Arabidopsis thaliana: one gene and its partners. The protein of the gene in region 3 interacts with the protein of the main gene of each other region in a biochemical or structural test. Each region holds a gene or a part of one and is shown on either strand. Other genes may lie near its edges. The genes, in order: AT5G42190, SKP1 and EID1.

Region 1 (3,804 bases), on a different chromosome or scaffold from region 3:
AGCCAATCAGAATATACTACCTAATAAAAAGTTAAAAAAACTTATTTAATTATAAATAAAAAATCTAAATTCTAAATAAAAAGTAAAAAAAAATTAAATTCTAACCACTTTTTAAAAAATTCAAACCAAAATGTAATCTCGTTTAATTATAAAATCTAACCCTAGTTCTTCTTTGTACACCCAATTCGATATTTAAACTCTTTTAATTGCAAACTCTAAATCTCTAACCGTTCTTTCTAAACCCAAACCGATATTTAACATTGTTTAATTATAAAATCTAAATCCATTTATAAAACCAAACAGACGTTCAATCTCGTTTAGTTATAAAATCTAAAACTGTTTATAACTCAAATCGATATTTAATAGTAAAATCTAAACTTCAATCCTTTCTTATAAACCCAAAACTATATAAAATTTTGTTCTTGTGGCAAATTAGATTTTATAATAAAATAAATTTAATTTATTTATTAGGTATAAATTCTAATTTAATGGAATAAAAAGGTGAATAAAGGGGTGAATCTAAATATATTTTTTATTGGCCCATATTTTTTACTAGGATAATGGCCGATTATGCTTTGGTGAAAATTTAGATAACGCAAGTTAGATTTTTCTCACTTTATTTAATAAGATAAGATTTTAGCGGGGATGAAATTTTTACAAGCGAATCCCTCAATATTTCACTTATGTTCGTGGATGATAGCTTCTTTTTTGTAAAACGACAAAAAAAACAATGCGTCATTGGATTTGGAATACTAAAGAACTATGAAGAGGTTTTTGGTCATGAGTTGACAACTCGATGATGGACAAACTTATGGCAATCTTCGAAATCACTAATATAGGGGACATGAACAACTACTTGAGATTATCGAAAAGTTTAGGAGGATCTAAGACAAAAAAAATTTACTCTTTTAGAAAATATTTACATAATAGAATAAATGGTTGGTTTACAAAATTCTTATCTAAAGATGGCAAAGAAGTATTGATTAAATCAGTACCAGATGCATTGCTTACTTATGTATTGTCTTGTTTTAGATTACCAAAATCAGTAACATCAAAACTTAGGAATGTAGTAACGAAATTTTGGTAGAGTTCCAATGGACGAACAAAACGTTTACAGTGGAAGGCATGAGATAAATTTTGTCATAGTGCCTCTCTGCTCTCCCTCTCCTCCTCCGGGTGCCTCTCTGCTTGCTACTTGGTTCCGTCTCTTCAGTTAGGTCCTCCTCTGCGGTTCAGGTTTCCTTATGAGTTTTTTGAGTCCTTGGGTCGTTCCCTCTTCGTTCTTTTGGTTTTTGGGCCTGCTATTTTTAAGTTTCAGCTTCTTTGGTTGTTTTGGGCTTTGCTCTTGTTGTCGGGCCTGCGCGCCTTGGATTTGAGCTTTTGGATGTGTATGTTTTCGAGCCTGTGTGCTTATGTTTGGACACTTGTCTTATAACTTGTTGTTTGTTTTAATGGAAATTTAAAATTAAAAAAAAATAAGAAAAATAAAATAAAAAATAAATAAGTTTTGTCGTAACGGTGGACTTGGTTTCTAGAATGTGGATGATTTTAATACAACTTAATTAGCAAAACAACTGCCGCAATTGATTATGATTCTTAACTCTTTATTTGCAAAGATGTTCAAAGAAAAATATTACCGGAAATCAAATCACATGAATCCAATTAAATTATACACACCATCCTACAAATAGAGGAGTTTAGTATCTGTTCAACTACTGATTAATCAAAAGTTGATGAAAAGAGTTGAATTAATTTTCAGGTGTTTTCCTTTGAAAGAAAAAAACAGAGAAAATGTTTTAAAATGAAAATTTATAGGTAAAAAAAGTCAATTGGGAATCGTTAGATCTCACTGGTTCAATGTGTGAGCCGGGCTTTAAAAACATTTTGATTTAACCCATACACACATCTCTCTGTTCCACGATTCTCTTCCTCAGCCTCCACGTCGTCTCTAAACTCAGCAAAAACCAATGTCGACGGTGAGAAAAATCACTCTTAAGAGTTCGGATGGCGAAAACTTCGAAATTGACGAAGCGGTGGCGCTAGAGTCACAAACCATCAAACATATGATTGAAGATGACTGTACCGATAATGGTATCCCTCTCCCTAATGTCACAAGCAAGATCCTTTCGAAGGTGATTGAGTACTGTAAGAGACATGTCGAAGCTGCTGAGAAATCCGAAACCACGGCCGATGCTGCTGCTGCTACTACTACCACCACCGTCGCGTCGGGTTCTAGTGATGAAGATCTCAAGACTTGGGATTCTGAGTTTATCAAAGTTGATCAGGGCACTCTCTTCGATCTTATCCTGGTTTGTCAAACTTATTTTTAATTGCTTTGGTTTTCAAAGTTTGCGATTTCATTTCTAGGGTTTGAGATCTTGATTTCTGTTTGAGATCTAATTTTAGGGTTCAGGTTTTGTTTAGATTGCCAATTTCACAGTTTAAACTATGATCATGTCTGATTGAAATATATGGTCTGATAGAGAAAAAAGTGTCAAGAGATTTCTTTTGAGTTTGTTGGATTTGTTTATAGCTGAAGACCACTTTACATCCAAACTCATGTTTTTTATGTTCTGTCTTAAACATTGGATAATGTTTAATTTCTTTGGGATTTGCTTGAATCTAGATTTGTTTTTCTGAGAAACCTTTTGGATGCTAACATGACATGTTTTGTTCTGTCTGAAACGAGTGATAAAGTTTATTTTCTTTGGAATCGTAGTTCAATATGTTTGATTTGCTTGAACAATAAAGTTCCATTTTTATCTGAAAGTTGAAGAGCTTGAATCTAAGTTGGTTTCCCTGTGACACCTTTTAGGCTGCTAACTACTTGAATATCAAGGGACTGTTGGACTTGACTTGCCAGACAGTGGCTGATATGATTAAAGGAAAAACCCCAGAAGAAATCCGTAAGACGTTCAATATCAAGAACGACTTCACGCCAGAGGAAGAAGAAGAGGTTCGCCGTGAGAATCAGTGGGCGTTTGAATGAAGAAAAATGAAGACCTAGGTTGCTGTCATGTCCTCGACCCATTTGTGTCTCCCTGTCTTATCTTCTTTCTTTGACTATATATCCATTCTCTTCTACGTGATGGTCCAGCTAAGACAGTGGGTCGGATGTTAATGTTATGTTATGTATGTCAAATTAAAGACTTAACTACGAAACATATTGAAGTTGTTGCTCAAAAGAGAGTGTTGGTCTTCTATTGTTTCGTCAATCATTTAGATAGGTTGTGAACACAAGTGATAAGATTTGTCTGCATGTTCTTAGAAAGAGAAAAGATCTTATTACTTGTAAATAAATGCCTATACAAGCACACACGAGAGATTGATAGATAATTCTGATACAAGAACCTCTGCCTTAATCTTTAGAAAGGCCCATTCACAAGTAATCAATGTGACGAAAGAAAACGAAAGACATAAAAATGTAGTAGTAACGTGATGTTGGAAGCGTAGATTGAGATTCTAGCGAACCCTTCTGCAGTTAAGTCTGACCTCATTGCCATTCCCACTGATACTACTCATCTTGATCATCGATTTCACAAAAGCCCTCTCGAACTCTTCGTTGGAATTTGCATATTTGGCCACGAGTTTCTTAGTAGAGGGTACTGCAAGAAGCGATTCGTCGGATGAGAATAGTGACTTGCCTTGGATAAGCATCTTGTAGTAGATATTGTCGAATGACGTCACGGTTCCATCCATGTTCGATCCAGCATTCTTCACCGTGTTATGGGCCGGGCACACTCCCTCCAACCTGGCTGCGAATGAGGGGTTTAGTGTTGGGTCAACCTCCTTTTGTGTGTTGAA
Region 2 (3,793 bases), on a different chromosome or scaffold from region 3:
TTTTTTGTATGACACATGTCCATTTTAAATTACAAAAAACCATGTAAATAAAGAATAAAATACGTTATAACTAAAAAAACTGAATGCATTTCAAAAAAGTTACCATATAATCATATAAGTAAGCATATAAATCATACACCTTATCTTGATGTATATGATTAGTTATAACTAGAAAAGAAAACAAAACAAAGTTGAATATTATATCTAAGAATATATATTACCCATTAAGAAATAAATGAAAGAGAGAATAAAATCCACAGCATTATATAAATATTGTAGCCCTGGGAGTTCGGATATATCGGTTTAATCGGTTCGGTTTATTTAGTTTTTCGGGGTTTTTGGATTTTTTAATTTCTAGCCGAATTGAACCGAACAAAAATTCGGTTCGGGTCGGTTCGGACATCGGTTTTTTCGGTTCGGTTATTGGGTATAAATTAAATTCCGGATTAAACCGATTTTTTTTCTAATTCGGTTAATTTGAACCAAATAAACCACAAATTAAAAAAATGGACTTACAAAAATGAAATCTAATAAAAAACAAACAACAGGCCCAATACACAAATATACAGTTACAATTACAAATCCACAACACAATTATGGGTCAGGTCCATTACAAAATTAGGGTTTTGAGTTTTGACAAAAAAAATATGTACGACTACAACTCCAAACTGCGACGTCGAGCAGTGCCTCTCCAATCTAGTGATCTACCATTCCGACGACGTAATGCCCTACGAGACCTGTTAAACGCCCGTTTGTTATCCATGAAGTAAGAAAAAACATGAGATGGAAGTGTAAACCATAAAAGATCCATAAAAATAATGGATAATCTCAGATTTGGAAGTGTAAAGCCTAACTCTAAAATTTCAGAAATTATAGAGACAGAGGAAGAGCTTAGAGAGCAAAGAATCAAACAAAACAAATGATTAAAGAGAAATAAGAAGAGTTTACCCTAAGAAAGTTGAGGTTGTGGGTTGAATCTCTGAGCAAAGGTTTTTTGTAAGACCAACTGAGATTAGAGAGAATGAAAGAGGCTTGGAAGATGATGAATTCATGAAGGAGAAGAGACGAGTTGATGATTACTAATTCAATCGAAGAAAAATATCAAAGTTTCTTTGTTGTTTTCGCAAGAGGCAGAGAGCCAAAAACGAAGAAGAAACCTAATTAGGTTAAGACTCATCAATTAACCTTATATATGGCTGCAGATTCTCGGTATGGGTGAAACCGATTGGTTCCGATTACCGAACCGACCCGAACCGACTTCCGAATTCTTAAATTAATTTGGCCGATCGGTTCGATCTCCTTAATTCGGTTGCTGCCGAAAACCAAAATTTTCGTTTTTTTCGGTTCGGTTTTCTCGGGTTGAACCGTTATCCCAGGCCTAAAATATTGTATGACTCTTGACCAAAAACTAGTTAGATATATTATTTATTATGACATATTAATATTAACTTAATATAAAATAAAAATAAATGTTCAAAAAACATGATCTTAAAGCTGACAAAGCTGATTTGATTGACTAATACTTATCCTACGGTGATTTTTGGTTCTTTTACTTTTTTTGACAATTATGGAGCTGGATGGAAAAAAAATATATATAAAATCATATATTATTAATAATGAGATAAATACAACGAATTAAACGGATCAAAGTTAATATTTCCAAAAGAAAAATAGAACAGAGTCCTAATTTCATTAATTTCAACTATTGAAAACAAAATTTAAAATCAATAGGATTGATTTCTATTTTTCTTTTAGAAAAACAAAATTTGAAACAATTTCCTAATTTCCCTAAACTTGCGACTTTTTAACAATCGACCGACTTATCAAAATTAGGGATTGTTTTATATATAAAGAGAGACGCATCTCTTTATTTCATTCATCGCTTCTCCAAAATTTTCTTCAAAGAACAAATCTCCCAAATCTAAAATCTTTCTCTTCTCTCTTCGTTTCCATAACCATGTCTGCGAAGAAGATTGTGTTGAAGAGTTCCGATGGTGAATCTTTCGAGGTTGAGGAGGCGGTGGCTCTCGAGTCACAAACCATAGCGCATATGGTTGAAGACGACTGCGTCGACAACGGAGTCCCTCTTCCTAACGTCACGAGCAAGATCCTCGCCAAGGTGATCGAGTATTGCAAGAGGCACGTCGAGGCTGCTGCCTCTAAGGCCGAGGCCGTCGAGGGTGCTGCTACCTCCGATGACGATCTTAAGGCCTGGGACGCTGATTTTATGAAGATCGATCAAGCTACTCTCTTTGAACTCATTCTGGTATGTTTCTTCTCTCGATCTGATTTGATTTTTCCATCGAATTTTGAATTTTGGGATTCTAGGGTTTTCGATTTGGGAAAATTAGGGTTTCGAAATTTAGGTGTTTGTTTCAGAAATTGAATCTGCTTGAGATTGATATTGTTAGGGTTCTTATGGAACCAATCATTAATTGAATCTATCGATTTGGATTATAATCATATCTGTGTTTTTGGATTCGGATTTTGATCTAATGGTTATGAATTTGGGATCTTGTGCAGGCTGCTAATTACCTGAATATCAAGAACTTGCTTGATCTAACATGTCAGACAGTTGCGGATATGATCAAAGGAAAGACTCCAGAAGAGATCCGCACAACGTTCAACATTAAGAACGACTTCACACCAGAGGAAGAGGAAGAGGTTCGCAGAGAGAACCAATGGGCTTTTGAATGATTGATCTTCAGAGAGAAGAATCAAAAGCAGCAAGCAACCAGTTTCTTCTTCCTTATGTTTATTGCCGTTTTCAAGTGTTGTTGATGACTTGCTTTTTAATATTCTTCATGAATCATGACTATCTTCTTCCTCTTCTTTCTTTCTTATCAAGAACCAATGTTTCTTACTCTTTGTGGGATGGATAATTTGTGCTTTTAGATAATCTTCAAGAGTGATGTTGGTTTGTCTTACAAAATAACTTCTTTCAATTGTCTTGCCAATCGCCACAGAATGCTAATTTGCACGATTCATTTTAGGAATGTTCATGTGTAAATAAAAAGAAACTGAATTTGGCAGAGTCTGCAAGCAGAATGTGAAGGATCATGACGACTACTCATTGAAACCAATGGTCACCAGTTATGCCCTGCTCCTGCTCATCTACTTACATAAATATCTGCATCACGTATTTGTATCTTGTCAACATCTTCTCAAATACTAACATAATCAGCATCACCCATTCGTCAACATTCGATAACATGTGGGCTTTGTTTGCATATAAGAAAACAAAGTTTCCACTCAACCGAACGTGGATCACATGTACATCAATATAATTACTTTAATTGTTTGTCTGGCTAGTCAAGTGGTCTCTCGTCTCGTCATTGTGTATCTTATCTTTACTATGAGACTGAAAGAGATATCTTCTTTATATACAGTAACACTCACATTGTGGTCACTCGAAAAGAGCTAAAGAAAATGGAAGATTTGAAGCCAAGTGCCGCTAACTCGTTACCATTGACACTGTTAGGCTTTCTTGAGAGAGCAGCCACCGTGTATGGAGACTGTACCTCCATCGTTTACGGCAATTCCACCGTGTACACATGGCGAGAAACGAATCACCGTTGCCTCTGCGTCGCGTCTGCTCTGTCTTCCATTGGAATAGGAAGATCCGACGTTGTCTCTGTCCTATCTGCTAATACTCCGGAAATGTACGAGCTCCAGTTTTCCGTTCCGATGTCTGGCGCGATCCTTAACAACATCAATACCCGCCTCGACGCGCGAACCGTCTCTGTTCTTCTCCGCCATTGCGAGTCTAAGCTGCTCTTCGTCGACTTCTTTT
Region 3 (3,736 bases):
AGCTGCATTCGTTTTTATTGCACTTAACATTTCCCTATGTCATTACAGGTTAGAGAATATGATTCAAGGAGGGATTCGAGGAGCCCCAGCCGTGGAAGATCCTATTCTAAGAGCCGCAGCCGTGGACGGAGTCCCAGCCGTAGTCGTAGCCGCAGCAGAAGCAGGAGCAAGAGCAGAAGTCCAAAGGCTAAATCTTTGCGTAGATCGCCTGCAAAATCTACATCGAGATCTCCTCGCTCTCGCTCCCGCTCTAAGTCGAGGTCACTGTCTCCACGAGGGTATGCTTCATTTCTTCTATAATGTTTATGCTAAAATATCCAACATAAAACATAACATAGGCTCTATTTAGCTCTTCCCTTGAAGTTTGGTGACATCACATTAAAAGATGTCACTGGGATGACTCCGAGTTGTTGATTGAGAATGATGATTGCTTCTAGTTAAGGGTACACGATTTATTTCCTTTGAAAGTCTGGTCTTTTATAATTATAGTGTTGAGAATGGTTTTGTTTCTTAGATATGGATATACATACAATCAACTAAAATATGGGAAATAGTATCTGGATCATGGATGTCTTGGTTGGTTGTACACAACTGTTTCGTCTCAGAGGTATATGCTCTTTCTTAGATGGGCAAGTTCGTTTTCTGATAATATCCATTGCTGCTAGATGGGTAACAGTGGAGAGACATTGGATCGCATTGATATAGTGTCATCAAAATGGACCCATCGAGCTAGGACAGATATTTTCATTACCTGCTAATCGACAAGCGATCTGGATTCTCATGGAACCGATGCTGTTCTGGACACAGGGTTTGATAGAATTAGATTTGCTTTGATATTCTCCATCTCTACCATCTGTTTTAACGAAAAGCAGGCTTGTGTTGGTTTGATTTTCTGCTAGAAATAGTCTGAAGATATGTTTTTTTCTTTTTTGCTTCTTGTGATTGTGTTTTGATGTCTGACATGGAATGAGGCATCAAGGGTCTTGGTGAAACAGCTATTAAACACGGAAATATTGGATTTTTAAAACTGGATTTGTTTCTCGGACTTTTGCAGATCTCGTTCAAGGTCAAGATCTCCTCTACCCTCTCTAAGTCATCTATCTCTAATACACTTTTTACTCCGCTATACTATCAGCACAATATTTTCGGTTTTCAATCCATACTATCCAAAAGACATGATCTATGTCTAGCTAATTACATTCTCATCATCTGGATTGAATTGTGTGTGTTGCAGGTTCAGAAGGAAGCAAGTAAGAGCCCTAGCAAGCAGCTGAGCCCTATCCGTGGTAGGAGCAAGAGCAGAAGCAGGAGTCCATCTCGGTAATGCACACTCTTTTTAACTTGCTTGGAACATTCTCACTCTTTCTCTGAATCTCTTTCCAACTGTTTTACAGGTAAAGAAACATCTCATATCAGGTAAAAAGCTGGGTCTGTTGGAAGATTCTCATAAAGATGATCTCTCTTATGTATGAGAAGTTGAAAAACTAGTTGTGTATTTCATTCTTATTAGCTTGGGTTTGCACATGGGAATGATATATACTCAGTCATCATCAGTTTATGAGCTAAGCTCAGCTGATTTATATGACTTGCTAATATAGTTAGTGCTTAAAACGAACTATCAAAAATTACTGTCGAATACCAAACTTAATTCAAAAGCTCACAATTCGATATTAAAATTTTGAAAACGTTCACAATAAATGAACCTAAAAAGACATGTGCATTGAACTCATTTTGATACCCGGACCCTTTACATTTTAGTTCAGTCCGTACGATGTCATTTTCGAGAGCTGTTGCGCATTACTTACTTGCCTTTGTGTGGGTGTTAGTGAATCTGTGACCCACCTTAAGAACAGTTAAGACTATTCCCGGTTTACGCGTACCGGACCCATAACAGTATAAGTGAATTTGGATAAGAAAGGAGCCGCCTAGAGAGAAGAAGGCGATCCATGGCGGAATCTGTCTTCTCTTGTATACCAGAAGACGTAGTCTTCAACATCTTCTTCAAGCTCCAAGATGATCCAAGAAACTGGGCTCGTCTCGCTTGCGTCTGCACCAAATTCTCCTCAATTGTTCGAAACGTTTGTTGTAAAACTCAGTGCTACTCCGCTATCCCCACCGTCATCTCCGATCTCCTCCCTCTTCCTCCCTCCGCCGCCGCATCCGCTTCTTCATCCACCGCGGCGGATTCGTCTCTTACTCCTCCCGGTGGTTGGGCTTCTTTATACAAACTCGCTGTTTGTTGTCCTGGTCTCTTCCACGCTGGAATTCTCCTCGAAAACTCCGATTTCGGTTTAGAACGTGAGCTAGGTCCCGATCAAAACCTCGATCCGAAACCTACTACGACGGATCTAGCTCTTAACGACGAAGAAGTTTCGAAACCAGTTGGATCTGGTTTAGAAACGACTTCGTTTTGGTCTCTATATGATGATCTCTACACAGATACTATTCCCGCTCCTCCTCCCGAAGATTCAATCGACGATCAAGAAGAAGAAATCGAAACGAGTGAGATCAGACCTGGACGAGATCTTCCGGTAAGGAAACGAAGGAAGATTTGTCGATCTCTAGGATCTCATTTAGCTTCCGGTGGCTGGAACCTTAGCCGTGAACAAGGCAACAAGCTTCTCGCGAGTAGATTCCGAGGTGATTGTCTCTACATTTGCAATTGGCCTGGGTGTATTCACGTAGAAGAGAAACGAAATTACATGTTGTTTAGAGGAGTCTTCAAGGATTTCAAAAGGTCTAGAGTTTGGAGAACGATAAACGACGGTAATCGGAGTAAGACCTCGGGTTTGAAATGCGCGTTTTGTTTGTGCGATGAGACTTGGGATTTGCATTCATCGTTTTGTTTGAGAAGAGTGTTTGGGTTTCATGATGATGGTGAACCAGTTGTGAGAGCTTATGTTTGTGAGAATGGTCATGTCTCTGGTGCTTGGACTGCTTTACCTCTCTACACTTGATAGCTCACTAGAGAGGACAGGTCTTTCATTCTTCTTCCACGGTCTCAAGTCTCAATCTTGTTTGATGTATTTGTAGGAATAGTGTCATTGTGTTTCAAATTCTGGTTAATGTTTAAGTAATGGTTGAAGAAAATTGGCTCAACATATTGTGGTTGTTTTGTTTCAATGTTGACAACATATTAGACTTCGATTCAAATGCATAAACTCTTACGTCAAAGCCAAAAATTTCAAGTCCAAGAACATTTGGAAACAATATAACCCAAAACAAAAGGTAGAAGAAACTTAAACCAAGATCAAATCCATAGAAAGAAAACAGAGTACCAACAACATTCATATAAAAGAGGAAGTAATTCAGAGGGTTTCATAAACCTGAAAAGCTAATAATACCATATGGTTTTTCATCATCTCTAGAACAGAGTCTTCACTTGTCTTCCTTAACAGATGTTGTTTCTTCTGCCGCTGGTGCCTTCTCTGTCGCAAGACCTTCCTCCTTAACGGCATCATCCTTCTTGTCTCCTGATTTTGCTGTCTCTTCTGCAATTTACAGAAAATGTTTCATTACTTCAAAATTCTGCATTTTGTTGAGGAACAAAGAAACACAAAAATCTGCAAAATGTTTCCTAAGACAGAGTACTTGGCATATCATATGGAATATGAGATACTTCAATAACAAAGTCAATCAACTCTGGCGAAATGCTTTCATTTCAAGGAGGCTGTGACCAAACATAAACGAGAAAGATCTTCAAAAGTATTACCTTCATCATCACTGTCTTCAAACT

What was found.
Region 1: the proteins of EID1 (region 3) and AT5G42190 form a complex in vitro, tested with the Arabidopsis thaliana proteins (one study listed by BioGRID).
Region 2: the proteins of EID1 (region 3) and SKP1 form a complex in vitro, tested with the Arabidopsis thaliana proteins (one study listed by BioGRID).

The regions. Positions count from the first base shown.
Region 1 is NC_003076.8:16,853,680-16,857,483, reverse strand, and holds AT5G42190 (E3 ubiquitin ligase SCF complex subunit SKP1/ASK1 family protein), read left to right. Parts: upstream 1-1,742; 5' UTR 1,743-1,967; coding exon 1,968-2,309; intron 2,310-2,815; coding exon 2,816-2,989; 3' UTR 2,990-3,293; downstream 3,294-3,804. Other genes in the region: PER64 (Peroxidase superfamily protein), read right to left, coding at 3,463-3,804.
Region 2 is NC_003070.9:28,514,758-28,518,550, forward strand, and holds SKP1 (S phase kinase-associated protein 1), read left to right. Parts: upstream 1-1,761; 5' UTR 1,762-1,957; coding exon 1,958-2,266; intron 2,267-2,523; coding exon 2,524-2,697; 3' UTR 2,698-3,139; downstream 3,140-3,793. Other genes in the region: AT1G75945 (uncharacterized protein), read right to left, coding at 656-737, 949-1,052; AT1G75960 (AMP-dependent synthetase and ligase family protein), read left to right, coding at 3,430-3,793. UniProt on the Arabidopsis thaliana protein: Involved in ubiquitination and subsequent proteasomal degradation of target proteins. Together with CUL1, RBX1 and a F-box protein, it forms a SCF E3 ubiquitin ligase complex. The functional specificity of this complex depends on the type of F-box protein.
Region 3 is NC_003075.7:1,070,609-1,074,344, forward strand, and holds EID1 (F-box family protein), read left to right. Parts: upstream 1-1,872; 5' UTR 1,873-1,946; coding exon 1,947-2,957; 3' UTR 2,958-3,171; downstream 3,172-3,736. Other genes in the region: SR34b (RNA-binding (RRM/RBD/RNP motifs) family protein), read left to right, coding at 49-278, 677-758; AT4G02450 (HSP20-like chaperones superfamily protein), read right to left, coding at 3,379-3,491, 3,713-3,736. UniProt on the Arabidopsis thaliana protein: Component of SCF(ASK-cullin-F-box) E3 ubiquitin ligase complexes, which may mediate the ubiquitination and subsequent proteasomal degradation of target proteins.